Linked DNA regions of Caenorhabditis elegans. The protein of the gene in region 1 interacts with the protein of each later gene in a pairwise test. Each region holds a gene or a part of one and is shown in the gene's direction. Other genes may lie near its edges.

What was found.
Region 2: the proteins of nsf-1 (region 1) and mig-5 interact in binary tests that used the Caenorhabditis elegans proteins (3 or more experiments, as listed by UniProt).
Region 3: the proteins of nsf-1 (region 1) and pas-2 interact in binary tests that used the Caenorhabditis elegans proteins (3 or more experiments, as listed by UniProt).

What each region holds. Positions count from the first base shown.
Region 1 is NC_003279.8:7,763,614-7,775,920, reverse strand, and holds nsf-1 (Vesicle-fusing ATPase), read left to right. Parts: upstream 1-3,689; 5' UTR 3,690-3,712; coding exon 3,713-3,763; intron 3,764-3,875; coding exon 3,876-3,939; intron 3,940-5,681; coding exon 5,682-5,856; intron 5,857-5,939; coding exon 5,940-6,155; intron 6,156-6,201; coding exon 6,202-6,279; intron 6,280-6,325; coding exon 6,326-6,574; intron 6,575-6,624; coding exon 6,625-7,042; intron 7,043-7,103; coding exon 7,104-7,553; intron 7,554-7,599; coding exon 7,600-7,756; intron 7,757-7,808; coding exon 7,809-8,009; intron 8,010-8,055; coding exon 8,056-8,135; intron 8,136-8,180; coding exon 8,181-8,389; intron 8,390-8,956; coding exon 8,957-9,083; 3' UTR 9,084-9,389; downstream 9,390-12,307. Other genes in the region: A-to-I RNA editing regulator adr-1, read right to left, coding at 1-138, 188-725, 769-837, 880-1,126, 1,178-1,278, 1,326-1,523, 1,651-1,788, 1,840-1,908 and 1 more. UniProt on the Caenorhabditis elegans protein: Required for vesicle-mediated transport. Catalyzes the fusion of transport vesicles within the Golgi cisternae. Is also required for transport from the endoplasmic reticulum to the Golgi stack.
Region 2 is NC_003280.10:8,178,913-8,188,502, reverse strand, and holds mig-5 (Segment polarity protein dishevelled homolog mig-5), read left to right. Parts: upstream 1-3,479; 5' UTR 3,480-3,494; coding exon 3,495-3,533; intron 3,534-3,599; coding exon 3,600-3,748; intron 3,749-3,802; coding exon 3,803-3,956; intron 3,957-3,997; coding exon 3,998-4,073; intron 4,074-4,125; coding exon 4,126-4,603; intron 4,604-4,645; coding exon 4,646-4,768; intron 4,769-4,814; coding exon 4,815-5,140; intron 5,141-5,188; coding exon 5,189-5,713; intron 5,714-5,863; coding exon of another isoform or gene 5,864-5,876; coding exon 5,877-6,025; 3' UTR 6,026-6,180; downstream 6,181-9,590. Other genes in the region: T05C12.8 (ANK_REP_REGION domain-containing protein), read left to right, coding at 1-104, 492-614, 669-890; cct-1 (T-complex protein 1 subunit alpha), read right to left, coding at 1,117-1,303, 1,462-2,118, 2,164-2,469, 2,514-2,937, 2,982-3,057; dylt-3 (DYnein Light chain (Tctex type)), read right to left, coding at 6,194-6,633, 6,679-6,685; T05C12.4 (uncharacterized protein), read left to right, coding at 8,135-8,218, 8,551-8,715, 8,759-8,920, 8,975-9,082, 9,210-9,380, 9,429-9,590. UniProt on the Caenorhabditis elegans protein: Plays a role in the signal transduction pathways mediated by multiple Wnt genes. Functions redundantly with other dishevelled family members throughout development.
Region 3 is NC_003283.11:10,768,670-10,776,637, forward strand, and holds pas-2 (Proteasome subunit alpha type-2), read left to right. Parts: upstream 1-1,698; 5' UTR 1,699-1,711; coding exon 1,712-1,749; intron 1,750-1,794; coding exon 1,795-1,871; intron 1,872-1,924; coding exon 1,925-2,171; intron 2,172-2,215; coding exon 2,216-2,549; 3' UTR 2,550-2,682; downstream 2,683-7,968. Other genes in the region: D1054.1 (PNPLA domain-containing protein), read right to left, coding at 9-155, 472-600, 646-720, 766-871, 928-1,010, 1,065-1,156, 1,210-1,255; D1054.3 (SGS domain-containing protein), read left to right, coding at 2,794-2,810, 2,884-3,079, 3,674-3,951, 4,001-4,106; D1054.5 (CBS domain-containing protein), read right to left, coding at 4,184-4,492, 4,537-4,926, 6,659-6,825, 6,939-7,093, 7,743-7,909. UniProt on the Caenorhabditis elegans protein: The proteasome is a multicatalytic proteinase complex which is characterized by its ability to cleave peptides with Arg, Phe, Tyr, Leu, and Glu adjacent to the leaving group at neutral or slightly basic pH.

The sequences.
Region 1 (12,307 bases):
TGCTGACAGCATCTGTTTTCACACAGGAAGATGGATCTATTGCAAAATAGTTTTTTAGTGTTTCTTGCGCGACCCAGTCTTTGGCCATTGCTTTGGAAGCGAGTGATGAGGACTTGACTTCAAATTTCAAATCATTCTCTGAAAAAATTGAAAAACTGTTCTAAATCTGAGATTCTAGTAAAAATACCATTGTGATCAATAATTGTGCATTTTGCCATGAAATATGCTCTTCCGATACCAAGTGGTCTGTCTTCTGCTGGCTCACATTCAATAGTAAGAGTGCAATTTAAAATTGAGCAAATGGTATTGAGACATTGAAGGATTGTCGTATCGTGTCCAAGACGATTACTTGCATGTCTACGGGCAACAGTGGTGATGTCGGCATGTGACACGTTGAACAAGTCACGAAGAGCTTCACGAATGACCATATCTTTCAAAACTCCACGACTTGGTCCCATCTTTGTATATTGTTTATTTTGCTCCACGAATTTCAAAGTGACATTATGCATGGTCTCATTTTTGCGCCAACCACTCTTCTTTTCATTGGCAACGTTTTCTCCATTTGTATCCACTTCTTCTTTTTTGACTTCGACTTCGGGAATCTCTGGATCTTTTGGAACCTCCGAAGCTTCGAAAACTGGTGAATACTTCTCGGCAGACTCAGCAATTATTTTTTGCATTAGATCTAGCAACGAAAGCGCAGATTCAACAGGTGTCAACTGGAGCTTGAGAATTTATAAGTACAGCTTTTGAAAATTTGAATTTTACCTTTGCTTTCTTAACAGCGGAGACCTTTTTCGGTGTCGGTTGATTTGAAATAGCATCAGCCTGAAGCAACTAATATAAAACTTATTAAAACCAATTGTAGTTCGAACGTACATTTCTCTTGTTGTTCTGCCCATTTCCAGAAGCGGCATCGATTTCCTTTTTCACTGGAGCCGCTGCTTTTGCTGCTACACCTTCTTCAAATGGTGTTACATGAACATCCGGACGAAGATCGCGAACAACAAGTTCCGAACATTTTTGTTTCGCTGCTTTCTTGTTGACTGATTCCATTTGAAAAGTGCGTCCGTTTACTTTCAATGTGCAGCAATACTTTTTCGGAACGCCCTCAACCTCAGTGTACCTGAAAAAGTTCAATAATTTGATTGCCTTTCTAATAAATTCAATAACTTACTCTTCAGAAACATCCTTGAACAGCTCATGAAGCAACATCGCTGGGCTTTTCCCAGTCGAATCAAACTTTTTGGGAGCAGCTGGACCCTTGGGCTTATTTTGCTGAAATAAAAACGTTATTGCAATATAAAATAAAAATAATTTCCCACCCTCCAATTTGGTTTGTTTTGGTTGAATGGACCGCCTTTTTGATTGTTAAAAAAACGATTTCCCTGTGGGCCACCCATTTGGTTTTGCGACATTGGTTGCACCCACTCCTGACTCAAAGCGTGCCCTCCGCCAAACGCACCGAAATTGTTGTTACGAATTGCAGATGGTTTTGGAGCACCGCCTTGTTGTCCGTATTTCTGTATCAGTTTCTCACATTAGAAATTCCAAATTGTGATAATTTTTAGAAAACGCTTCTGTTCTTTCAATTAAAAATAAACTATTAGTTTCAACTGGAGCTGTTCTTTAAATTAAAAATAAATATACCTTCTGTGGGAAGGTTTGTGCTCTCTGTTGTTGTTGCATGAATGTTGAAATTGGGTTCATGGCTGCATAAGTATTCTGAGCTTGTTGTTGAGCCTGTTGTTGCTGCTGCTGCTGTTGTTGGCTGACATATTGTGGGAACTGAAAAAAAATAATTGTATTTTCTTCCGAAATTGTTAGTTTTTATCATACCGTGTGGGTAGCCAGCGAGGCAGCGGACTCTGGTTGGCTCCATTGACTTGCCCAGTTGTAATTATTGGTCTGGAAAATTGAAAAATTAATTAAGCAAAATTTTCTAAGCTTTTGAGATAATTCAGCTTAGTGATTTTTTGTATTAGAAAGTTTTTGATATTGTTTTTTAGCTGAAGGATCTCAAACCTTAGGTTTTGCTAATTTGATACGATTTAAGATACAGAAATAAACAATTTTAAGCTAATTTTTGAAAATATCACCGAGAGGATCCAACCCTGGATGATATAAATTTTAATTTATAATAATCATCCAGAAATGCATCTATAACAAAACTTAATTATTGCAAAGTGAGAAAAAGTTCATTTGTATTAGGCAGATGAACTTATTGACACTGTAAACGTCAACAAATGTATTAATTGTCGATGCATACGACAACGCCAAACTATTTGGGGTTCTTCCAATATTTTTAATTGCTTTAAAGCTGGAGTGAATCCTACTTGAGTTTTAATTTGTATTGGATTTCACTCCAACTCTAATCGAGTACCCACAAAAGTTTAGAGTTAACGTACGGAATCGCTGGTGTGATCAGTGCCAGAGCCATAGGCCTGTCCATAACCGAAGTTGTAGTTAGGATTTTGATCCATTTCGTAGTCAAATAAATTACCTGCAGAAAAAATGATGACTAGCAATCGTATGAAGTTTTCGAGAAAAGATTCACACTATTGAAAGTCGTGACATTACCCGGCACAAAAAAACATTTCGAACCGGACAATGAAATTACACGAGAAATAAGAGGGAAGCAGTAAGATCACAGAGTATGCCGCATTGGGAATAATGACAAACTCCACGTTCTTAAGTAGACACAAAATACATTACAATATAGAGGAAATATGCCGAGAGTAGGAAATAAACATACTATTCAGTTGTTCTTTTAAGCAATAGAAGCAACTAAATAGCTAGTTGAAAGACTTCGTGTAGCATTGAGAACAAAAAACACATTCAGAAGAGAAAAGCAAATAATTTTAGGCCCTCTAATTCTAAAAATCCTAGACTAAAAAGGAATGAAAATTATAAAACGTCAAGAACAAAATGGCTTATGACTGAGATATAATGCTCCTCTCAATATGCTATAATTATTGATTAACTGAATTTCCCATAAACTGACATTGCTTTCAATGTTTTGAAACAAAAAGGGCTGTTGCATTGTGAGAATAACACTATTTTTCTATTGAAATTGACAGAAACTAAGCGAATTGTACATTTCAGTGATACATTTACAATTGCGGAACGAAATAATAAGCGAGAACGCAGCAAAAAATGAGCCGAATCGTTGAGCGCGGAACGCGTCGCATTCGAAAAGTCGATAGTTCCATGGAGCGCATTTGCTCTACTGACACGTCACGGAATCTGTGAATAAAGTTTGAAAGAAATGCGTTCAATGCCGAAAACGAAAACTTCGCTCACATTTTAAGTGAGAAAGAATAGCAGCTAAATTGTTATAAATATTCTAAAACATAGTGTTAAAGGATTTTAACTACTTTTCATAATTCTGTTTCGCCCGACTCACACAATTCAAAAATTGAAGTGGTCTCATAATACACGTTTCCCGGATTTTCATGAGTTTTTAAGATTTTATTTGCAATTTAATATTTCTAATCTGCTGTTTTTATCACAAATGCGAAAAATATAAAGTTTCTGATGCTTAAATATTGATTTCGTCAAAATATTTTTTGTAAAACCACATCAGCTGCTAAATAATAAATTCTTTTTATTTTTTTTTTAAAGTTCATATTATTTGTCCAGTTACAATTTATTAGTTGCGAAATTCATATGCAACGTGTCCTTGGACGAGTTTTCAGTCAGACATTTTCTCATGAGTCCAGTCCCGTGTTTAAGCACATGTTGCTGTTTTAGGAAAATCGTGGTAAATAATTGTGTTTCAATGCTCATTATTCGTTTGATCGTTTCTCTTTTAATTCTTTATTTATTGAAGATCAGGACTGTATTTATTCTCTTTCAAAATTGTTAATTTTCAGGAATATTCTACAATGTCGTGGTTTCGGAAATCAGCAAACGACTCACTACTGGAGACAAATCACGGTTTCGTTTTGTTTTATTGGGAACTGTGCTTTCAAACTTTTAACTAACGTTTACTAATAAGTAATATGGATGAACTTGAACTGGAATTTTCTTAAAATCAGGGTTTTATTTGAACATTTAACATTTTTAAATTCGTTAAAATTTTATTCATGACGGTTTGACATGACTTAATTTTTTTCCAGTTCTAGCCACTCCATATTATTTTAATGTTTACTTGCATGAATATTTGAGAAATACCAAAAGTTGCTCATCATTTCTTAGTTTGCTTCTTTCTCCATCATCAAAAAGTCCACCCTTTTCACTTCCTCCCCTCCCATTTTCCGGCTCTTTTTTCACGTATCTCCCCCATCCGTCTGTCCTCTTCTCCAACTCTTCGTGTCTTTTCATGCCCAAAGTCCTACATCGATTTGCGCAGGAAAAAGCCTCCGAGTGCCGAAACAACGTCTTCTTCTTCTTCGTATTTTTCTTGTTTTCAACGCACTGCTCCTCTCGTTCTGCAGTTTTTGTTAGCATCTTCCCCATCTCTTCGTATTTTTTTGCTTCTCATTTCCGTTTTCTCTCCATTTACTTCTTTCGGCCTCTTTTCGGTCCTCCGCTTTTTGTTTTCTGTTTTGATGCCATTATTCCCACGTTATTCTGGAGAACATTTCCATAAACCAAGGAAAGTCATGAATTACTGAAATAATGACAGGATAAGCTGTTTCTTCAGTTTTATCCGAAACAATTCAAACCTTAATACTTTGAAAATTTAATTATTAAATTCAGTGTAATCAAACCCCTGAAATCTGACTCTTTCTCACTTTCGGTATCCTAAAAATGAAAATTGTGTCTGCCCGATTTTTCCTTCGTTTTGTCTGTTATCAGATTATATGTCCCAGCGCGCATGCGTTTTCTAATAGAGTTACATTATTTTTTGTCTAGAGCTTCATGAGAAAAAAACTAAAAATTCTAAAATAAATTTCCTTTCATGTTTCATGCCCATTAATCTAAAAATTACGTTTCGGTCCTTTCCTTTAGAAAAATGGCTCAAAAACCTCCAAATGCATGCTTTTCGCCAAGAAATCGGAGCCGCCACAAACGGCGCGACTTCCACTCAATTTTTCTCCGTTTTCCGAATAATTTTGTGTGCATTTGTGTGTGTCTCGTTGAGGGTGGACGTGTCCATGTATTCGAATTCAATTTTCCTCCTACCATGTTTGTGCTTTCCAATCAGCTCCGTCCACTTTATGGTGTAGCGTTAAATTATAGGATAGAATGGACACTGAGACTTCCTTCCGCAGTTCCTGGGTGAACTTTTTGGAATCTCTTGAGACAATTAACGGTTAAACTTATCTAAGAACGAGTTCGAACATTATCTGGTCTTATTCATCTATGGGTTCTTTTCAGGCCTTTTCTAAAAAACTTAATTTTTTTGTTTTTCTATATTTCGGAAAACCAAAAAAGTCGAAAGCTAATGCGATGCCTCAATTCTCCAAAAAAAAAAGACATTTCTGCGGCTTGTATTATGGAAAAATCGAAATTTTTTTTGGCGACGCCCCTGGTTCATATCATTTTTTTCGGGTACGAAAAATTAATCGAGGTTATTTTACTAATATGATTGCAACAGTTAACGTTTCTCGCTAAAAGTATCACTAACTTTTTTGTTTCATTCACACATTTACCTATTTGTTTGATCAAAGCTTTCCCTTACCCTTTTTAATCCTTTTCAAACAATTTTCAAAATGTATATTATAATAATTCAGACCGCATTCCAGTAGCTCCACCACGCGAAGTGAGAGCACCATCACCACGTCTGCCCCCCAGTTATCAGACGTCCAACGAAAAAATGTTCCGTGTTCGGAAAGCACCATCAGAAGAACACACGTTGGCTAATTATGCCTACGTTAATCGCTCTGATTTTGATGATAAGCAGATCAAGTAGGTTTTGTTATCATTGTATTTAGTATTTAAATACATAATTTTCATTCGCTGGTTTTCGTGTAAAATTGTTTTAATTTCAGGCATGTCCGCGTAAATCCCGGCCCTGCTCACCACTATATTTTTTCGATTCGAAATGATGGCTCAATCAAGCCTGGAGAAATCGCATTCGGTGTTCCACATCGTAAATGGGCAGCTTTATCGTTGGATCAAGAAGTTCGAGTGACACCGTTCACTTTTCAACAATCTGAATATGTTGGTTCAATGATTTTGACAGCTGATTTCAATGCCAAAAAGAAGTAGGGTTTTTCCGTTAAAAAAAGTAAATAAATGATAATTTTGTAGTGTCACATCTGAACCACTCAACGCCGATTTGATGGCCAGAGAATTCTCGATTCAGTTTGGAGGACAAGCTTTTTCAAAGTGAGTTTCTAAAACCGTGAATATTCTATTTTTAATTTATTTTCAGAGGTATGCAAATGGCTTTCCGATTTGAAGATAAAGAGAAGAACAAGACTCACACTCTATCACTTGTTGTCAAATCAATCGAAGGATTTGATATTGGAAAAGCTGCAGCTGCGGCAAGTGGTGCATCCAATACGGACAGTAGTGCCACCAAACCAAAGCAAATTGAAGCAGGAGAACTTTTACCAAATTCAGTTATTGTATTTGATAAAGAGGAAGGATCTATGCTTAATTTGATTGGAAAGAGTAAAGGGTTAGTATTAAGAATTAGAGTCTATTAATAAAAAAACATTCATTTTTCAGAAAATCCGCTTACCGCTCAATCATCAACCCTGACTGGGACTTTCAACAAATGGGAATTGGAGGTCTTGACACTGAGTTTTCTCATATTTTCCGCCGTGCCTTCGCGTCTCGTGTATTCCCACCAGAGTTTATTGAGCAACTCGGAATGAAGCACGTCAGAGGTATTCTTTTGTTCGGACCACCTGGAACCGGAAAAACATTGATGGCGAGACAAATTGGAAAGATGTTGAACGCGAGAGAGCCAAAAATTGTAAACGGACCACAGATTTTGGATAAATACGTTGGAGAATCAGAGTCAAACGTGAGAAAATTGTTCGCTGATGCCGAAGAAGAATGGAGACGGTGTGGAGCAAATTCAGGACTTCATATTATCATTTTCGACGAAATTGATGCAATTTGCAAACAAAGAGGATCTATGGTAAGTATCGAATTTTATAATTGCTAGCAATATGGCGATTATACTCCTTTATAATTTCCAGGCTGGAAGCTCATCAGTCCATGACACTGTTGTGAATCAATTGCTCTCAAAAATGGATGGAGTAGAACAATTGAATAATATTCTTGTAATCGGAATGACCAATAGACGTGATATGATTGATGAAGCTCTTCTTCGTCCAGGAAGATTGGAAGTCCAAATGGAAGTTTCACTTCCTGATGAGACTGGACGACTTCAAATTCTTAAAATTCACACTGCACGCATGAGAGAATACAATAAAATGGACCCCAACGTGGATTTGGAGGATATTTCAAAAAGGACCAAGAACTTTTCCGGTGCCGAATTGGAAGGTCTCGTCAGAGCTGCCCAATCCAGTGCAATGAACAGGCTAGTGAAGGCTGGAGGTAAAGCTCAAGCTGATCCAGATGCAATTGAGAAACTTGCTATTAATTCTGGCGATTTTGATTACGCCCTTGAGAATGATATCAAACCGGTAAAAAATCATTTTTCTATTTATATTCTTAATCCCCAATTTCTAGGCATTCGGACGTTCTGATGAATCGCTGAATCGTTTCTTGAGCCGTGGAATGATCGTTTGGGGACCAGAAGTAACGAAAATTCTTGATGAAGGAAGCCTTCTCGCTGCCACTGTAAAAAATCCTGAAAACAGTGGATTCCGAACTGTTGTGCTTGCGGGTATTATTTTTTTTGAAAAATGGCGGTTAACTTATATACTTCTAACTTTCAGGTGCCGCAAAAACCGGAAAAACTTCATTGGCTGCTCAAATGGCAAAGAGCTCGGACTTCCCATTCGTCAAAGTTATATCACCAGAAGATACTGTTGGATTCTCAGAATCTGCGAAGTGTATGGCGTTGAAGAAAGCTTTTGAAGATGCGAAACGATCAAAGCTCAGTGTTCTTCTAATCGATAATTTGGAAAGATTGATCGGTTGGTTTTTAGATTAATGCATAAATCTTTATATAAAATTATTCAGACTACCATCCGGTCGGCCCACGATACTCCAATCTGGTAATTCAAGCTCTTCTCGTACTTCTCAATGCTCCTCCACCGGCCGTTAGTGTATCGAAACAAATATTTTAGAACAATCGATATTTCTAGGGTCACCGTCTGTTCGTCATCGCAACCTCATCGGATCGTATGTTCTTAAGAGACATGGGACTTATGGATGTATTTGGAGATGTTATTGATATTCCTAAACTCACTACAGCAGGACAAATGATGAATGTGATTCAGGAGAGTAACATTTATTCCGATGATCAACTTCCTATGATTGAACAAAAACTTGCATCAATATGTAGAGGAGAAGGGTAAGAATGTTCGATTTTTATTTTATAAAAAAATATTATTTCAAACAGTGTGAAGCTCAATTTTATTATTAAAAAGTAAACTTCTGATAAAGAAATAATCATAATTCTGAAAACATTACTAATTTATGCTTTTAAATTAGATAATTCTTGATATTAAATGATCAGTTGTGTTATATACATCTTATTTTTTAATATTAAAAAAATCGTTCACAAAATTAATTTTCTTCAATAATTTTTTTTTTCAGAAAATCGTTTTTCTCGAAAAATTTTTTTGAATTGAAACACTCAAAAAATTTTAAAATTTGAATACAAAATTTTGGCGAATCTATTTTTTCCTTTTTTCTTTTGGAAAAAAAGTTTTTTCTCGAATTGAACCCTGATATCGCCCAAAATGTTATCAAATCATCATCTGCAAGACTTGTTTCTGAATTATCATTCCTTTTGGTTCCAATTCCTTAATTCCATTATCCTCTTACAAGCCATTAACTCTTTTTTAGCCGGTATTAGTTGATTATTTTTTCATAAATCTCATTCCAGCAAAATTCTCCTAAAATAAGAATGTTCCAGATTCCATGGAGTCGGTATCAAACATCTTCTCGAATTAATTGAATCTGCTCGTCAGTGTGAAGCCGATTACCGCGTCCCGACACTTCTTAATATGATGGAAGGTCTTGCTCTAAACTTGTACCGTTAACTCTTCAGTTGAACATAGAACTCTAAAAGCTAAGAAATTTATTCAAATTAATTTATTTAATTCTAATTATTGCATAACCCATTGAATTCTCGCCGCAATATTGTGATAATCAATGGATCTCCAACCTCTTTTTTTCAATTTTTTTTTCTTATTCATTTAAATATTTATTTATTCGCAGTCCCTTTGTATTGAACTTGTAACCATCATAGCTTTCTTTATGTGCACTCATTTATTTAAAGTGCTATTCAATTAGCTAAAGTATGTAAGTTTCCATTTCAAGTAGCAATAAAATGGTTTGTATATTTATTGGTGTCCACACTCCACAAATTCTTGATGTTCATTGTTCCCTTTTCTAATCTGATCGTTTGCCTTTATAATCTAAAATCCTATTAGAGTAATCATAAGACTTTGCATAATGTTGCAGAGTACTATTCGGGATTATCCTCTGACTCGACGCACCGTTTTCAGACATCAAAAATTTTTGAAAAGTCCGAAAATCGATCCTTCCTTCGTGAAAGATGACGGCTTATTCTTAAAAATAGAACTAGCATGTAAAAATGCCTACCTACATTCCTTCAGGCGAACCGAAGAAATGTGGTGTATAATTTGTAGTCGAATTTGAGAGGATGATATGAAAAATCGCCCAAAATCCAATTAAATGATGCTCGAGAGGAGTACACGGCCGAGAATCCATAAAACTCGTTTCCGCTCGAAATTCAAATCAGGTGAATGCAGAGGTTGATTTTTCGATCTTGGAAGCTCCATAACTGATTTCTGAGAGGCTTTTCCCAGTTCAAGTGATCCTATGCAGCTAAATTTCTTTTAGAACCTGATTACTCAGGTAAATCAAACCACACAGGCCCAGCTTCAGGATGAATCATTTTAAACTACAGTGTCATTTAAAAGGTGATTGTAAAACAATCCGTCTCTTCAATGAAAGCAGGTCCCTTTTTCCACACTTGTCTTCCCGTTTGCACATATCTTTTGATTCTTTCTTCCCACCCAAGACACACCTATTAATTGTACTTTTTAACCCTCCTGGCACCCCCACGCACATGTCTTGTGACGTCACCAATGTTTAAAGGGCACACATGGTCATGATGAGGGGACGGTAAGGCGGGAGAATGAGGACATTGTGCGCCAATTTCGAAATGATTCGAAACTACTGGCATCGTGCCAAGTGACAATGAGTTCTCCTGTGCAAAATGCCTATGACTCATTGAGGTAGACAAAGGGCAAAAAAGTGCAGACAGTTGGGCGGGAAGAGGTAACACAACGACCTACTGGTACTACTTGAATGAGGGAATGCAGATGAAGCATGACGCAATTTGCAATTGAGGTGCACTTAGAAAGAGCTTCAAGGACAGTTTGGTTACGGTAGATAGATAAAATGGGAGGAGTTACCAAGTCTTTGTTGTGAATGGAGCTTCTACCGTAATCCATCTGAATCTTTCATTGTTTATGAAGTATACGCTGTGACACAAAGAAGATTACAGGATGGAATTCAAAAAAACTCAAAAGCGGCTTCATTAAAGTTCATGTCTAGAAAATGCTTAAATGTTCTTTTTATATTTGAAAGTTTATCCCCAGAATTCTAATATAAGTTGCCATTCGACAATTGATGGGACTTATTAAAGATGAAAAAACATTTTTGTTCACCCTTTGAGCTTCTCTGAAATGTTCTCTTGGTATGCCAGAAATCTTTATCTCGATAATTGCCGAACCGCCCAAATTTTTCGAGTACCACATTTCTATCGATTTTCTGGGTATCACCTCCTTTGAATTGAATTTCGCCGCTTCAATTCCCCTTTTTGATAACTTTTAAAAGACTGGGGGCATTCTCGGTTCAAAGCCTGAGGGTACACTGAAAGTTTGCTGTTTGCGCTAAAAAAATAATAAAAAATAAGTGCAACTTTTTGGTTTTGATCGGAAACGTTTACATACTGATATTCACTTTCAAATCCATAGGGTCAATTGATTAGTAGGCAGTGAGGTAATCATTTCTCCAATCGCAATAGTGAAAATTAGGAGAAATAAAGCTGCTAAACTCACGTAGCTATTGAAACTATAAAAAATCAAAATGTGTGACGGTATGTTCTAATGGGCGTACTTTTAGATTACATTCGCTTGATATGTTACAGATCAAAAAGTAGGAGTTCAGGTGGAACCGAAAGTATAATGATAGATTGAGTGTTCCATCCCAGTTTGATCCCTGAACATGAGGACAATAGGTTTTCCACATTTCACTGTAAAATGTCTGTAATGTAACATTTTCTTATTCGCGTTTTTCAAAGCTTCCAGGGATAGAGCAAAAACAGAGACGAAAAAGAATACTTGTGCGAAGTGTTGATGAAATTGATAGAAACTGGAAAATGATTTGAAAGCTACCCAGTCTGCCTGATATGGTATTTTTGATGCAGTGTTGGGGCGCGAGCAATTGTTAGAAATTCTAAAATAAATTGTTTTTTTTTAATTTTTACTGCACGATTGAAAAACATCTGAAATTTCAGCACGCTTGAGACTCTCAGATATTTACAATATCACAAAATGTAGGCTCAATCGCCTTTTTCAAATCTAATATTAAATTCTACCGAAATTAAACTCAAAATGCTAAACTCAAAAATGGTTAAAACTGAAACTCAAAAACCCAAAATGAGATAGTTCAAAAGTGCGTCGATTAGAGCATTTCGGCAATTATTGAGTTTGTATGGAGTGCTTGTGCTTTTAGCTAATTTTACAACTATTCTGGCCAGCCTGAAAATTCCCCAATGATTAACTTTTTTAATTTCAAAAATTCTAGATATACATAGGTTTGAATATTGCCAGAAACATTCGGTAATCGTCAATTTCAGCAATTTCCAAAACTGCCATAGCTACACCTCACTGTATTTTATTTGATCCGTGTAGTTCTGAAAATCCAAAACTTTCATGTAAATTAATTAATTTTCCATTAGGAATTTCCCATTTTTTCTAACTTCCTATTTTTTTTCGAAAACATGATGTAGTATAATTACAAATTTCAAAATAAGAAAGTTGTCAAACTATGACTCATGATGACAATTGAAATGACCCCCATTTCCGTTGGAGGGACAATACCAACATTCCTGGCTACTACTATTAAGTAAACCTGATTTCGTAACTTTTCACAAAAATATCTTTTTCTCATCATTTTCCTTGTTTGATTTTATGAAATTTGCGAAATTTCATGGTCTAAAGACACCGGT
Region 2 (9,590 bases), on another chromosome or scaffold:
TTGACTCATCTGAGCCATCAACTCCACAATTGACATCTCCGCCAGCTGATCATGGAGTTTTTTCGAGTGTTGGGGAGAAAATTAGAAATATTTTCGGAAAGAAGGTATTTTTCCGCAAAATAATTTATTATTTATTACACACGCGAAATTTTGTGAGCTTCGCGCCCAATATGCACCTTTAATGAGTACTGTAATTTCAAACGATAGTTTCTGCGGAATTTTCATCGGGTGTTTATGGTTGTTCGTTAAAAAATATTTTTTATGAATAAAAAAACTACGAAAAAACAATTAAAATACATAACTTTCTAATAATCGATTAAAAATCCATGGAAACCGAAATTTTCAAGTTAGAGTACAGTACTCTTTAAAGGCGCACACCCGTTTGTATCAAAGAAAACAATTTCGTGTCGAGACCGGGTACCGTAATTTCAGCGCAATGATCACAAAATTGCACGTCAGGATAACATTATTACAGTTTTAAAACGTTTCAGCCTCCACTTCATACGAAAAGTCTTTCCGTTGTTCAAACGGATCGAATTGCAGCACCAGCTGTCAGATCTTCATCAATTTCCAACAAACCATTGTCATATCAAACCAGTGGAAATTCAAATGAGGTAAACCTAGATTTATGATCAATTTGAAAGAAAATATTGGTTCTTTCTTTATAGGAGGATCACTTGAGACTTCCACAACACTCATCATCATCGGAATCGCCACCATCTGAAGGTCCATCGAATAGTGGATTGTTCCGATGGTCATCAAAGGATAAACCGATGACCAGTACTGTCAGCACTGCTAATGGTGTCCGTCTCCCTCCACTGAGCCTACGCCGTCGTACTAACAGTGATCCGAAAAATCGCGATTTCACATCACTGGGCGGCGATGAGTAATACAACTAAATGTGGCAAAGCTTCTTCATTGTTTGAATAATGAAAAACGAATACAAACAACTTTGAAATCAAAACATTAAAACTTACAACATTTCGTTCAATAAAGTATCATCAAAAGAAGAAAACAAAAGCTGAACATGAGAATTTGGGATAAGGAGCAGCAGATCGGAATTATGTGAGAAGCACGCGGAAAACAGGGATATATAAACGGGGTAAACGGGAAAATTTAAGCGTGGCAATCATCTCCTCCAAGTGGCTCTTGCTTGTCAAGTTTGATGAGGTCATCAATACGCAATATCGTAATGGCTGCCTCAGTGGCGAACTTCAGAGACTTGACCTTACTAAGAGCTGGCTCCAAAATTCCAGCCTCCTTGTTATCGCGGATCGTGCCTTCTTCGAGATCCAAACCAGCCCTAAAAAAAGAGTGAATAAACTGACTCAAATTCAGAAAACATGAATTAGACGCTTTTTCTAAGCACAAAACGAAATTTTTTGAAATAAATTATTTTAATTTTATTACATTAAGCTAACATGTAATAACCTACTCTTTAAAAAAAACATTTTCACTTACCACTTGAGGTGTTGAAGTTGTGGGATCAATTGAGCTTTGGAGTGGTACGCGCGGAGTTTTGTCACTAAATCAGTAGAATCTCTTGCAGCATTGCTTGCCAAAACCTTCGGAATGATGAGAAGCGCTGAAGCGAATTCAGCAACAGCAAGCTGCTCGCGAGAAGACAAGGTTTGTGCATAAGTTTCAAGGAAAAGACTGAGAGAAGTCTCAACAGCACCTCCTCCAGCCACAAGTTTCTTGCTTTCCAGAACTCTACGAACAACACAGAGTGAGTCGTGAACCGATCTCTCCATTTCATCGAGCATCACATCGTTCGCTCCACGGAGGATAATGCTGCTGGCAGTACGAGATTTCGGTCCCTTGATGAGAATGAGCTCGTCGTCACTAATTCTTTCTTGAACAATTTCATCGGCATGTCCAAGAAGCGAGGCATCGAAAGCTTCATCTCCTTCCAAAGTAGCCAAGGAAACAGTCAATGTGGCTCCAGTAGCTTTGGCAATTCTCTTCAAGTCTGATTTCTTGCATCGACGAACAGCCATAGCTCCAGATTCGACAAATTGCTTCAAGCACAAATCATCGATACCTCCAGTTGTAAGAACAACGTTGGCTCCGGCTTTCAAAATTTTATCAATGCGGCGTTTGGTAATATCGAATTCTCTGAAAATTCCATAGCTTAAAAAGAAACGAATAGTTTCAACTCACTCTCTGCGAATAGCCTCAAGCTTGGCTGGATCTTCAACAACGACTGAAATACCGAGGTGCATCTTAGCCTTCATCAAAGAGAAATCGAGACATGCGATCTTGGCATTTTGAACACGAAGTGGCATGGCCTGACTGGCAACTGTGCAATTGAGTGCATATCCTTTCACCAAAACTGATTCGCGAGCGCTCTTTCCGTGGGCCTTCAGAACATTGACTGCATTGATAGGATAAGTGACTTTCCCGTTATTTTCCACACGAACAGCTTCCGCGGCATCAACAACCAGCTCTCCGAAGAAATCGGCGTCTCTGAAAAATCAATTTTCTTGAAGCATAGACAACACCAAACTCACGGTCCGATAATCTTACTGCTCATGGAAGTTTTGGCAGCGTTGACAACTGATTGTCTACCAATCGAGTCGGAAGTGAATGAGATGTTTTCACTAATGTACTTGACGGCTTCCTTGCACGCGAGACGGTAACCATTGATAATAGTCGTCGGATGAACTTTTTGTTTCACAAGCTCATCGGCTCTCTTCAAGAGCTCAGCCGCCACAATAACGACAGAAGTAGTTCCATCTCCGACCTCCTCGTCTTGCAGCTGTGCAAGTTCTACAAGCACTTTTCCAGCCGGATGCTCAACCTCGAGTTGTTTCAGAATTGTGGCTCCGTCATTTGTGACAATGACATCTCCAACATCATCGACAAGCATTTTATCAAGTCCGACAGGGCCAAGAGATGACTTCACAATATTGGCGATCGCAACTGCCGCGGTGACTGCAATTAATTAATGTATACTTATATTGAGCTTTCGGTGTTACCATTCTGAGATCTGATGCCTTGTCCAGTAGTTCTTTTACCGGTGAGGGCAAGAATGGAATCTCCAGCTGATGCCATTACCTGAAACACAACCGTATTAACTTAGCAATAGAGTAGGACATTCGATATTGAGTCAAAAAGGGGCTTTGAATAAGCACTCAAAAATAAAAATATACGTAAAAATGAAAATATTTCAGTAAAAATAAAAATGCTTCCAGAAAATCGGGGATCCCTTGAATTCTGAATCAAAATTAAAATTCTTGTAGAATATTCTCAGAGCGCATCGTACTTCATGCATGCTAGAAGGGTAATCGTGCCGAGACCCAACACCAGCTGTCACTAGGGCGTATTTGCAACATTGTTCCCACCCGCGATTTATTGCCGATAAATTAAAAATAAAATTGTTTCCGCTAGTCCTTTGCAAACAAATTTGTTTTTTTTGTTTCCTCTTGTAATTTTTATAAATATTTTATTGGTCTATAATTTAAAATATTGAATTCAGATTTCTAACATTTATGGAGCCGCCATGCACATCAGACTGCAGCCAGATAAAAGTAAGAATTTTGATCAGAATTGTTTTTTATTAAGCCAGTGATTAAACAGAAATAATTTTCTTCCAGGTCTTCTACTATCTCGACGATGAAACGACTCCCTATGTTTCTGTTATTGAAGCCAGAGAAGGAGTAGCGACGCTTGGAAATTTCAAAAATTCATTCACCAAGCGTGGATATAAGTATTATGCGAAGGAACTTGACCCGGATATTCAACGGTGAGTTTTGGCTTTTTTAATTTTTGTAATTATTCTGTACTGAAAAATGTTCAGAGAAGTTAAAGTCGAATTAACAACTGATTCGGATCGGCTGCGCAAATCCCAGAATGGATTTTATGAGATTTTTCTCGTTAGCACTCCAGGATATGGAACTCTTCCTCGAAACAGTGGAACAATGACGCGACCACAGAGAACTGCTCTAGATAAGGTTCGATTTCTGTTATTTTCAAAAAAAACTGATATTTTAAGCGCCGCCGACGAAGTGCAGACTTTGACGCGACTCCGTACTCTGATGCTAGTCTTGCTCCGAGCACCATTGTTAGCAGTGAGTTTTTGCTATTTATGTACTCTTAAAAACCTGTATGAACGTTTTTCAGGAAGAGCAGGAGAGCATCTGGCAGAATTATACACTTCAAATTCAGAGGATCCGTATCAATATGACGAGCATACACGTCGAACAGGAGATGATTCTTCGCTCTACGAACCTCTCGCTGCTCGTGATATGAATAAGATATACGATGACGATAGAAGAAGGAAAAAACAAAAGAAAGAAAGATTCAGAAGACCGTATGTTCCAAGTACTATTAGCTCAGCGACGGAATCAAGTGTTAACAGCGGCCTCCCTCGAATTCTGGAAATTTATCTACCAATGAAAAATGTTCCATATCTGGGACTGAGCGTGTGCACAATTGATGGTCATATATTCGTTTCCGAAATTGCACCAGAAGGTGCCGTTGAAAAAGATGGACGTGTGAACGTTGGTGATCAGATTCTTCAAGTTAATAGAGTATCCTTTGAAGAACTCAGTGGGCCTCAAGCAGTTCGTTCGCTCAGAGAAGCTGCATCCTCCAAAAGGTATTTTTCTACGCATTAGCATTAATTTTTTTTAATTTTTAGACCAATTACTCTTTATATCAGTAAGTTTGCAAGAGGTGCCCCAAGTGAATATGATGATCCACTCGCGTCCATGGCGTCTGAAACGATGCCCCTCGACGTTGGAGTTTGGGTAGAAACCGCTGTGTAAGGGTACCTCGCAAGATTTATTTTCTTAATTTGATACTTACAGGCAGAACACTGAAAAAATGAAAGCTCTGGGTTTGGATCCACAGGAGCAAACGGCAACTACAATTGATGACGGAACTCTTCCATTTACATCGACAGCTTCTGATGATGAGGAGCGAATGCTTTACGATCAACGTAGAAATGGAATTCCAAGAGCTTTGATTGAAGAAGCAGAAAGAAAACGAGAAAATGAGCAAAATGAAAAAATAGAGCAACTCACAGAAATGATTGATCCCATTATTGTTGTTCGTTCTATGGCTCGTCCGGATTCAGGATTAGCTGTCAAAAATCGAAAATGGCTGAAAATTTTGGTTCCAATGTCTTTTATTGGTGAGTACTGAACATTCAAGTATTAGGATCCAAACAATCAACGTTTAGGCCGAGATCTAGTCGATTGGCTCGTTGATCACATGGCTGATATTCATAATCGGAAGAAAGCTAGAATCTATGCTGCGAGATTGTTAGCTGCTGGTCTTATCAGACATGTCGTCAGCAAGTTGACATTCACAGAAAAGTGCTACTATGTATTCGGTGATGGAATTCTTGGCAATGATCGTAATTCCACGGACACCACTGGTACGAGTGGAACTACAATGCGAGTTGAAGCAACTACTGAAGTGACGTATGTTGGCTCACCAGCACCACATGCTCTGGCAGCACGAGTTGGAAGAAATATTCCTCATCGATTAGAAACCACTACTCTAAGCCCAGTTGCTCATGACCAAACATGGCTTCGAAGACGTCGAGATTGTGAGAGTCCTATGACAAATGATTACGCATCGATGGTCGGAGAAAGCCAAATTGGAATGAATCCAGTCGGAAATTATCATGTTTTTGGGACGAAAAATAATCACCGTCAGGTACCGGCACCTTCTCAAGTGACATCCTCAAGCTTGACAAACGGTGAGAAAATTAATCGTTTCTATAGGGTGCAGGAGTTAAATTTGAAGCAAATATTCATTTCAATTGATATAGTATTTGCTGTTTCTTGACTACTGTACCCTTTGTATCCAAATGACTTTTCACATAACAGTATTTCCCCAACCAAATTAGTTACAAATTCCAGGAAGTGGTGGCTTAGGAGGCCCTCCGCCGACTCCTCTATCCAGTACTATGGTTCTAGCAGCTTCTCCGATTCAGTCGCAGAACGCAGTCAACCACGATTTCGACGGGGAGAACAGTAGCAACAGCAGAACGCGTATTTTACGGACTTAAAATTTAAAACTCATTGCCTTTACCGATTCTCGCCTTAATTCCCACATGCTTTATTAATATTTAAAACTATGCCCTGTTTTCATGTATTTCAGTAAGACTAACGTTTTCATTCATTCATGTAATTTTGAGTCTATTTATGAATTATTTTAAATTTCTTCATGACGATGTTCACTTCGAAAAACGATGTGTGATGAAGAAGACTTGGACAGCACCGAAGATAGTTTTAGACATCCATTCCGAGTAGTATGCAGTATCCTTCGTAGTATCCCAGGAGCACATGTTGGCCGTGCAAATTGCAAGATTATCGGTTTTTGCAGAAATAGTACAATGAACCAAAAACTTTTTGCTTCCATTGAGCTTCACTAAATTATCCGAAATTGTTTGGATCATCTTGCTCATCCAATCAGACATTTTGAATGGAGAATATGGAGTTTTACCAATTATTGAATCAAATGATTTTTGAATAATTAAATCAATTTCTTGTTCTTCGGCATTTGAATAGACTTTCTTTTTGAGTTTCTTATTTTTCTTTTCAATCAATTGTCTCAAAAGCTGAGCGTTTTTTGATTCAATTTGCCGCTTTGCTACAGAAGAAGTTGTAGAAGTGTCTAAAATTTCAAATGATGTTGCATAATGTGACAAAGAAAACTAACCTGTCATTTTGAAACAAGGAATGAATGAAATAATTAAAGTTATGCGATAAACATTTGTTTTCTAAATTTGATATATATATTAGAATCTGGTATAAATTTTTTTAACAGTGCGTGTAATTAGAACACGCTCTGAAGGCGAAGTGTTTAGTGCCAATTCAAAATATTACTTACAATTAGACCCGAAAATTTTGCGCTTTTTGTGCCAAAAACACGGTACCTGGTCTCGACACGAAACATTGTTTTTAAATGCAAAAAGGTGTGGGCACAGCATCTCCGACCGGGAGCGAAAAAATTAATTTTATTATAAAATGTGTTGTTAAGTTTTTGTTTTGTTTCCGCGGCTCTGTACCAGATTTTACACTAAAAGTGCACCAGTTTGGAGCACCGGACACACAGAAATTGTGTAATGTTGATGGCGTTCCGTATCCGAAATTGACATGTTTGCAGGGGTCGGTTGAGCTAACAAAGGTGGGTGGTGGAAGACGGAAATACGGTTCGAAGGAATAGTGGGGGGAAAGCTGACTGATTAGCTTGCCATCAGTGATTTACGGAAAATGTTCTGCTTCCTACTATGATTTCCTCATAATTTGAAATTTCATTAACTCTTAAATGTTTACTTAAATGTGATGCGAATTACTCAGAAAATGCACAGTTTTGGAAATGTAGCAAGTGACCAAAACATTTACTGAAAAAAACCTTCACCTTTGAAGTTCCTCTAATATCCAAAAAGTCATCATCAGTCCAATAGACAAAAAGTATTTCCGGTCCGTCATGGCAAGTTTGCCTTTCTCATCACAAACACTTTCTCTCATCCTTTAATTGTTTGTAGATGAGCCGGTCATTAACACTTATCCCTCTTATATCTATCATTCAATAAATCTTTTTGTAATATGCGCACCTCAATAATGTCTACAGACTCTTGATCAAGGTTTGTGGAACGTTTCTTTCTGTTTCCATTCAAACTATTTAATTAGATTTCCTGTAAATTCTGGAATGGAAAAATTTAACTTCATATTCAATTATAACAATGAAAATTAATTTAAAATGGCTTTGTGCAACTTCTTGAAAACAAATTGGAAAACATAGTTATTTTATAGTGAATGCTTTATGTATGCACCTTTATTATATTTCTTTTATTAGTCTTGTATCCTGTTTGCTCTACTTTGACAGCTCTCATGCCGGTTATCTTTGATTTTGTCAAAAGATATTTAACAGCAAAAAGGTATCACATATTTTTCTATATTTTCATAGTCAATTTTTGATATATCGAAAGACAATCGAGATATGAGCTTTCAAAGTAGAGCAGTGAGTTATAGGAAAAATACGGATCTTTTCATAAACTGATCGGATCTGAATTTCCCATACGGAAGCGTCTCTAATCTTGACTCTATTTGACACACAATCATTCAACAGATTTCTTTATTTAATTTTCAGAAATTTCAGATAATATGTCCTAATGGCCTCATATATTCTAAACGCACTTACACTTCGTCACGACCATGACGCAGCTGAACGAACATTGCACCATTTTTGGGATACGGTACGTGAAGGAAAAGTTCCGGTCTCTTTTCGTGAATGAAAAGATTATTTCCACATGATTGGAAGGGTCATTCCCGTTACATTCGTTTTTGAACGGAAAATGAAATTCAAAAAAAAACAGCTGAAGATGACCTAGTCTCGCAAATTTCACCTTTGCATGATAGGATCTAACGAGTGTTGGGCATTTTATTATTGTTATTAATATTATAGACTTACTTTTATTATAAAGTTTTTATAGTAATGAATGACTTTATATTCGATTTAGGTGATGTAAGTTTTTAATGATTAAATTAAAAATTTAGAGTTTATCTAAATTCAGTTTACATACTTCAGAAAGATCTTCTGGATTCCGGGTTAATTGAAGAACATATTGCAAGTCAACCCCTTTTGGCTGCAAGTTTATTTTCTTTAATTTCTTGCTCATTTGGTCTTGTTATCTTTACAATCGTATTCCTCACATGTAGGTTTCGAGGGCGATGTGGATCACAAAAATATCAAGTAAGGTTTCGAGGATCCCTTCTTTTAATATTAATATTTCTAGGAATATCCTTCAAATTCCAACACTTATGCAATATATCTTATGTTATTTTTCATTTCCTGGCTCATCGTCACATCAGCTTCTGCTTATTTTGTTCTCGCTGGAATTGGATTTTGGAGTGAAAAATTGGATGCAAAGAAACCATTTGCTAATGCGTCTCTTGTGGTTTTTTAGACATTTACTCATTTCAAAGTGAAACGTTTATATCCTAATTTTCAGAGATTTTCGAGAAGCACTATCAGTGATCTATTTGCTAATTATGATTATCATGGAGATTTTGAAAACGTTTCTGAGCTGCCCAAAAGTGGGCTGAAGAGAATTCATATTGTGAGTTAGATCCAAATAAAATATTTTTAAATAACAAAACTTCCAACTAAAAAACTATGTTATCAAAAATAACTTTCTTGAAATCTACAAAATCTTTATTCAAAATGTTCATTTTTATTTCTTTCAGAGTAGAAAACCACTTCAAACTTTTCGAAAAAGAATTGAAATTCCCATTCGACCACTGGCCGAAGTTACATTTTCTGGAACATCTGATAAGTTTATTACAAAGAATCGACCAATTATTGATTCAAATTTGAATAAAGTATCAGATGAAAAAGAAGAAGTCGATGACATTATTGTAAGAGATGTTTCTTAAAATGTATGACTTTTCCAGTTTTAATTTCAGAATTTGAGTGGGGACCAAGAGGAAGTTTCAATTCAAAATATGCATCAGCCTACGAAAAAAATTTTAGTGAATCATAAGGATCAACTTTCTGAAATTCCAAGAATTCCTCAAGTTTTTCAAACATCAGATAATTCTGAAAACCTAGATGGTATAGAAGATTCA
Region 3 (7,968 bases), on another chromosome or scaffold:
ATAGAAACCTTGAATATTTGTTTACCGAATTCAATGTTCCAGGTTGAAGGATCATCCGGACAAATATCGGCTTGACTGGAAAACGGAGAGCATGTTATCGTCAAAACGTCTGGAAATGTGGGCAAATTGTTGGTCATTCCACCATCGATGCATTCCTGAATTATTTTAATTTATTAGTCCATTGTATTATGCGAACACAAAACTCTGAGAATGTGTATTGCGCAAAATGTCTCGTGGCGAAAACTACAGTAATTCTTCAAATGACTACTTCAGCGTCTGTGTCGATTTTTAATGAGAATAACACAAAGAAAAAAAAATCAAAAATTGAGCCCGTAAATAAATCGACACAAAAACTACAGTAGTCATTTAAAGAATTATTGTAATTTTCGCCACGAGATATTTTTGCGCGTCAAATATATTGCGCAATACGTATTCACAGAATTTTGTGTTCCCGTAATAATATAAATGCACCTCTTGATTAATAATTGGTGGAACCCCTTTATATCCCATTGAATACATTGGAATGTAGCAACTGGCAAGAAGGCATGATATCAAATGATCACGACTGTCAAATTTGTTGATCATTATATTTTCCCATTTCTAGAAAACAATTTTTATGAGAGTTTCAAGCGTATTTGTTCTTACTTTCAATTTGGTTATGGAAATATGCAATCTTCCCTGAGCATTTGCAATATCAGTCGGAAGAAAGTCGTCTATGATCTGAAAGTTTCCTTTTTCTTCATCTGAAAAATTAGGGATGCCTACTGTAACTAGTTGTTCATTCAAGTAATATCCAGGAGTCATGGCACCAAATCTTTGAGCATGAACGTGATCTGCCATTGAATACAGTGTGTCGATTGCAGCATCAAGTCTGAGTAGATTTAGATTATTGCCTACTTTCTATTATTCTAGGAAATATGTATTTACTTTTCAGGAGCCAAAGCAAGAATTGCAGCAACTAAACTTCCTGCAGATGCACCAGCAAATCGATCAACTTTCTCTCCAATAGTCTGTTAGAATTTTTACATTTAGTTTTTGAACTCTTGAACTTAATTTATTTTTACTTTTTTTTCTTGCATCAGACGTTTTGCTGCTCCGAAATTGTAAGCTCCAAGAAATCCCGAACCACTAAACGACAATGCCAACTTTGAAACATCTGAAGATGAGGATTTCAAATAAAACAGTTGGTGAAAAATTAGAAATTCGTACCTTCTAGTTTGTTTAGTCGTTTCAGCAAAATAGTCGATATTTTCATAGTTATAGATTTTATATAATAAAAATTAAATCACAAGTGTCTCATGGTAAAGAAGATTTCCAATAAACATGCCACTGTGTTGAAGAAACTAAATAAAAACAAAAGTGACGAATTACAGCGTTGCCCGCATGGAGGAGTTGAGACGATGAATATGTTTTTAATTTATGTGAAAAAGATAAAAATCAATTAACGAAAAAATTCACATGCATTAAACATTTAGAGAAGTGTAAACATTTTAATTTTCACAATAAATGTTTGGTAATTAGATTCTCCGGGAATTTTGCGTCGATGAAGTGGTCATAAAGCGCGCTCTACCGCACTCAGTTCGAATGATGACAATTTCACCGGGTTTTCTTTTTCATTTGCTCCTCGCTTTAAAGCAAACGCTTTCTTGTTGTCAATTGGTGTTCGATTAAATTTCTCAGTTAAAATAAATTTTTCAGAAATCACTGAAAAATGGGAGATCACTATGGATTCTCACTCACCACCTTCAGGTAGTTTAAATTCAATCTCCAGAAAAGTCAATTTTATTTTTATAGCCCATCGGGAAAATTGATGCAAATCGAATATGCATTGAATGCTGTCAAGAATGGGCAACCATCGGTTGGACTGAGAGGTATTCAAGTTTTTGTCTTGTACTGTCGTTTTCAATGGGAAATTCATTTTCAGCTAAAGACGGAGTCGTTCTTGCGACCGAGAATGTCGGATCTGTTCTCACCGATGACCAGCCAAAGGTAGAACAAATCAGCAAGCATATTGGATGCGTCTACAGTGGAATGGGACCAGACTTCCGTATTTTGGTGAAGAAAGCTCGCAAGATTGCTATGGAATACGAAATGATGTACGGCGAGGAAATGCCAACCATTCAACTTGTCACTGACATCGCGGCCGTAATGCAGGAATATACTCAATCTGGGTGAGTTAGAACTTTTCTAAACGCACTCTATTCAGATTTTTCAGTGGTGTTCGTCCGTTTGGAGCATCGCTTCTTATCGCAGGTTGGGACAAAAATCCAGGACGGCCATTGCTCTTCCAATGTGATCCATCTGGAGCTTACTTCGCATGGAAAGCAACAGCACTCGGGAAAAACGACGTCAATGCGAAAACATTCCTCGAGAAGCGCTTCAGCGAGGCCCTCGAGCTCGATGATGGAATTCACACTGCTCTTCTGACACTGAGAGAATCGTTCGATGTTGGCATGAACGAGAACAACGTTGAGGTGGCTGTTTGTAACTCGACCGGATTCCATCGGCTCACCAAGCAACAAGTCCATGATCACCTTGGAACTCTTTAAATCGAGTGATTTCACAATTTTCTTTCTTTCTTTTCTCTAATTTATTCTATGTATTCTCCCATCTATCCGTACCCGGTAGTAATCTCTTTTTGCTACGGTGTTTTGTTGGAACAATGAATCCTTTTACCGTTTTACACCCGACTTTTGAGGTACTTTTATTAAGGTGTATAACCCTATTAGGTTGTTTATCTTGACTGAATTTTCTCAGACTTATGAACAAACTTGTTTTCAGCTATTAATCAAAATGTCTTCAAAACCAAGGTGAGCATTAAAATTTACAGGATAGTGAATTTTAAAAATTTTGAAATAAGAATTCGTTACATTCAAATTTCAGGCATGATTGGTTCCAGAGTGAAACTGATGTCACTTTAACTATCCTAAAACGCGGAGTGCCTCTCGATGATTGCTCTGTTTCTCTATCAGATAACAACACACTGACGGTCAAGCAATGTGATGAGATTCTCTTCTATGGACAATTATCTGGTCAAGTGAAAAAAGATGATCTTACTGTAAAATGCACTGCCGCCAAGGTTAGTTGGGTTGAAATATTATTGTAGATCCATTAGAAACTAGAAAACTAGATAAATGTCTAAACGTCAAGATTTTCTAGTGATCCTCCCAAGCATACCTTATTTATTAAATTATGGTTATTAACATTAAAAACATGTTTTCCGGCCATGGAAAATTGATTGGAATTTGTTTAATTTTAGTGTAGTTTATTTTAACTCGATTGAAACAGTTATTCAAGAATAGTCTGAGAAATTGCGTCTAGTCAGAAAATGCTAGCTATTAATGCTATTAATGCTCTACATTCACCTGAACGAGTTATAGATTGTACCAAGTAAGGACATGTGGCTCAGTGGTAGAATATACCCTTACTACGCATACAGTTGTGGTTCGGTAACGACAGGATGATGAGTCACTCGCTGAGTGACAATAAGCCGAGTGTTAGCGGTTTTTATGTAATCGTGATGATCATTCCCTCAAAAGCGATAATTGTGAACTGACTGTCCGAAACCACAAAAAAAAATAAAAAATTGCGTTCCATAATAACTTGATTGGATTTAAAAACGTCCAGAGCAAAATTTTTGAATAAAACAACTTTTATTTAAAACTTATTCCAGGTAGAAGTTCGACTTCCGAAATTCGCTCGCAATGAACGATGGGCTTCTCTGCTGAAAGACGGACAAGGTGTTGCCGCTTCTGTACAGAGTGTATCACCAAATCCAGAAAGTGCACCAACTACTACTGTGAAAAAGAATTGGGATGCTATCGAGAAACAAGCTGTAAAAGAAGAGGAAGATGAATCGCTGGAAGGTGATGCCGCTGTAAACAAAATGTTCCGTAAGATGTACAACGACGCTTCGGATGATGTCCGACGTGCCATGATGAAGAGCTATTCGTAAATCGTTATTGCCTGAAAACCAAGAGATTATAGTGATTATTTTCAGTGAATCAAATGGAACCGTCTTGTCTACAAATTGGTCTGAAATTGGTCAAAAGAAAACGGAATGTCAGCCACCAGCATGTATGGAATATAAGGAATATGAAAAGTGATGATTAAATTCTTATTTTGTTATATGAACACCGCCAAAAATGAAACTTCATGTCAAATGTTTTGTTTTAAAGTTTAATTAAAATCTCATATCCTCGATATCCCCTTCAGATTCGTTGGTCCCCTGACGCTTGATAACTGCTTTGTCTCTGGAGGTGTATAATTTTTCATAACCATTATGTGGTTCCGGATCTGTTGGATCTGTGGATTGTGAGCTCGTATCTGATTCAAATGGAAGAAAAGCTTGTGATAGTGATGGACGTTTCTTATTTGTCATTTCCAATCTGATGGTATTCATTGTCTCGGTCTTGGCGACCTTTCCAGCTATTTGTTCGATCCATTTCTCCGTTTCGTTTTTCTGCTGGCTCCACTGTTGTTTTACTTGATCCTGAAACGTTATATTACTCAATTGAAGATAATAGCTCTGATCACCTGAATATAGGATTCAATGTCTTCTGCATGCCTCCTCATCTCTTCAAGAGACATATCTTTCAAATCCGGATCTTCAACAGAAACAGTTTGCACTTCAGTGTAATCTAGCTGAAAAGAGCATTCTGGATGGACAATCGTGTTGTGGCATCGCGTGAAGCTCAATGGTGCTGGTGGAGCACGATTTGGCGGTGGAGGTGGTGTACGATCATCGCCCAAACGAATCTCGACATTGCATTGTGCACTAGATGAACCCGGAAATTGATTCGATGACGGTGAGAACGATATCGTGTCATATTTATGACTTCCCTGTGGTCGGAGAGCAGATTCAGAACGATTACGACCATTTGCGGAGAGAATCGGAGGCGAAAAAAGTTGTTCCACACTTGTAGACTGTAAACAGGAAGGAATGTTATTTATTATTTTGTTGTGGACTTAAGTGTACTTTAAAAACATTACAATATTCGGTATGGAACGTAAATATTCTGTAAAATACAAAACTGTTCAAATTTACAATTCTTCTAATTTCGTACTAACAAATTTGATAATACATTTGAGAAGTGTCACGTCACACTGTAAAAAGGTTACTGTGGCTTGCGTCGATTTATGGTATTGCATCATCCTTTTCAACAAAAAACATGAAAGGTAGCATACAAATAATCTCATATGTAGTAATAGCTATACTTACTATTATCAGGTTGTCCCATAAGTTTTTGTACTTTTTTTCAAATATTTTTCCAAAACTTCTAGAAAGTTTTAAAATTTTTTCATCGTAGGTCGTGTCAAGGTCGGGTCGTCCCCTTTCAGAAAAGATTCATTTCATCCATTTCTACTTTGCCACGATGACAATCATCAAACTTGAACGTCGAGACGTTAGATTGCTTCTTCTTTATGAATTTCGTCTTGGTCATTCAGCAATGGAAGCGGAACGAAACATATGCGGTGCGATGGGTGAGGGAGCACTCTCTTATAATACAGCAAAGAGTTGGTTTCAAAAGTTCAAGAACGGCGACTTCAGTCTCGAAGAAATAGAACGTTCTGGGCGACCGGTAGAGTTAAATGAAGAAGACCTAGTGAAGCTGGTGGAGGAAGAGCCTCGTCTTAGTCTTCGTGAAATGGAAGAGAAGCTTGAGTGTTGTCATAGCACAATTGCACGTCACTTGGGTCGCCTTGGTTTTACTTCAAAACTTGGAACTTGGGTGCCTCATGAACTTTCGGCATCACAGAAGCTCACTCGGGTCAACGTTTGTACTCAACTTCTAACTTTTCGTCGAAAGTTCGATTGGCTGAACAATCTGGTTACTGGAGATGAGAAGTGGGTGCTCTATGTTAACCATTCCAGAAAACGTCAATGGCTTCCGATCGGTGAGAAAGGAATACCGACGCCAAAGCCCAAAAAAGATTATGATCTGTGTCTGGTGGGGTGTTCAAGGACCCGTGCACTGGGAATTGTTGCCAACTAATAAAACTATCACTGCTGATTACTATTGTGCCCAATTGGACCGAGTTGCAGAAAAGACCAACGGAAAATATGAAAAACTATATTTTCTTCACGATAATGCTAGGCCTCATGTCGCCAAGAAGACTTTCCAAAAGCTGCAAGATCTTGGTTGGACTGTTTTACCGCATCCACCATATTCTCCAGATCTTGCACCAACCGACTACCATTTGTTCTTGTCTCTCAGTGACTACATGCGCGACAAGCAATTCGACGACGAAGAGCATCTCAAAACTGAACTCTCCACTTTCTTCTCATCGCGTTCGCCGGATTTCTTCTCCCGTGGCATCATGATGTTACCTAGTAAATGGCAACAAGTGGTGGACACTAATGGTGAATACTTGTGTGAATAGTACTACTTGTCGCTTGAGAGAAATAAATTTTTTTCAAAAAAAAAATAGTACAAAAACTTATGGGACAACCTGATAGAAATACTACTTAAACCTTACCATTTAATCAATCAAAAACGTAAGATTTCTAAAATAAAAATAACCACATAAATCGACACTAGCTTCAGTAACTAGCTGTCCCCGTGGTGAGACCAATTCGCTTGAGATAGGGCGAAAAATCCCATTGCATACGTAATACAATATACATTGGAGATTTCAAAGTTAAACATGTACATACCCGATAGCTTGAGCCTTGTTCCCCATAACTGGTCATATTATTCTGTGAGGATTGCCACTGAAAACGTGGAATGTTCGATTGGTGTTTAGCTCCAAAGCCGGCTGGCAATGTTTTATATTGACTCGGTGAGACTCCAGTTGGTGATGACAATGGAAGGGGGGTACGTTCTGGAAATAAGTTGGTATCGTACCAGTCACTATGTTGTTTACAGTTTAATTTTTTTATTTTCGCTGAAACTAATGAGCTAATACTTTTAATACTATTAGTTTTACATAATTACCTCCAATTGATCGAATGCTATCTGGTGCCAGGTACGTCTGAGAATCAGTGGGCAAAACTGATGATGATGGAGGAGAAATGGAAGATAGAGATGGAGCGATATCAGTCGGAACAACTGCCAATTCAAGATCCCTTTTATCAAGGATTCCAATAATTCTGTAACACAAAATTATGAAATGAAACTTATATTTTTGAAATTTCAGGTTTGATTTGGGAATTTCTTTAAGTTGCTCCAGCTGACTAAAAAACAGAGAATACAAAAACCACAACGTTGGTCAAGTTCAAGGTAATTCAAATGAAAACTTCAGGAACACTATAATTTTGGAGGACTTTTTTTGAATTTCATAAGCTGTATTTATTAAATTGTTTTTAAATTTTCTATTTGGAATCTCAAGGAAAATTATTCAAAAAGAGTTTTCACCTATTCGATACAAATTTCTCAAAGGGTCCCACCCAATTGTTGACTTTTTTCTTTTTCATATTATGATTATCTGTAACAGTTCAAAACCAAATCCCTTCTGTTATTGAAAGCCTATTGTAATAACTTCTTTGGTATTTCACTTTTGTAGAACTTATCAAACGCTCCATGTATACCCAAATAAAATTTTATATCAATTTAAAATGACGTTGAGGCAATCGTATTTTATGTCTACGGCATTCACCAAATCAATAACAAAACACATTATATTAATAGTTTGATTACAGTAGCTACAGAAGAGATCAAAAGTTTGCAAAAAAGCGAACTACTAGTTACAATTTTCAAATAAACTTAAATCTGATTTTCTTACAAAAAATGTAAACTCACTTATCATCTTCCATAACAAGAATAAAGTCTGTGTCGGTTCGAACCAATTTATGTTTTGAAACAATCAAATTCGTAGGTCTCGATATCTCAACATTTTGCAGTGAATTAGTCCCAGAAGCTTTCTTTTTCACAAATTTCAGCATACTTCTGAACATAATGCTGATCATAATTGTTGCAGAAATCGAAAAGAGTGACTAATAAAAAACGTTTGTCAGTATCAATAGAT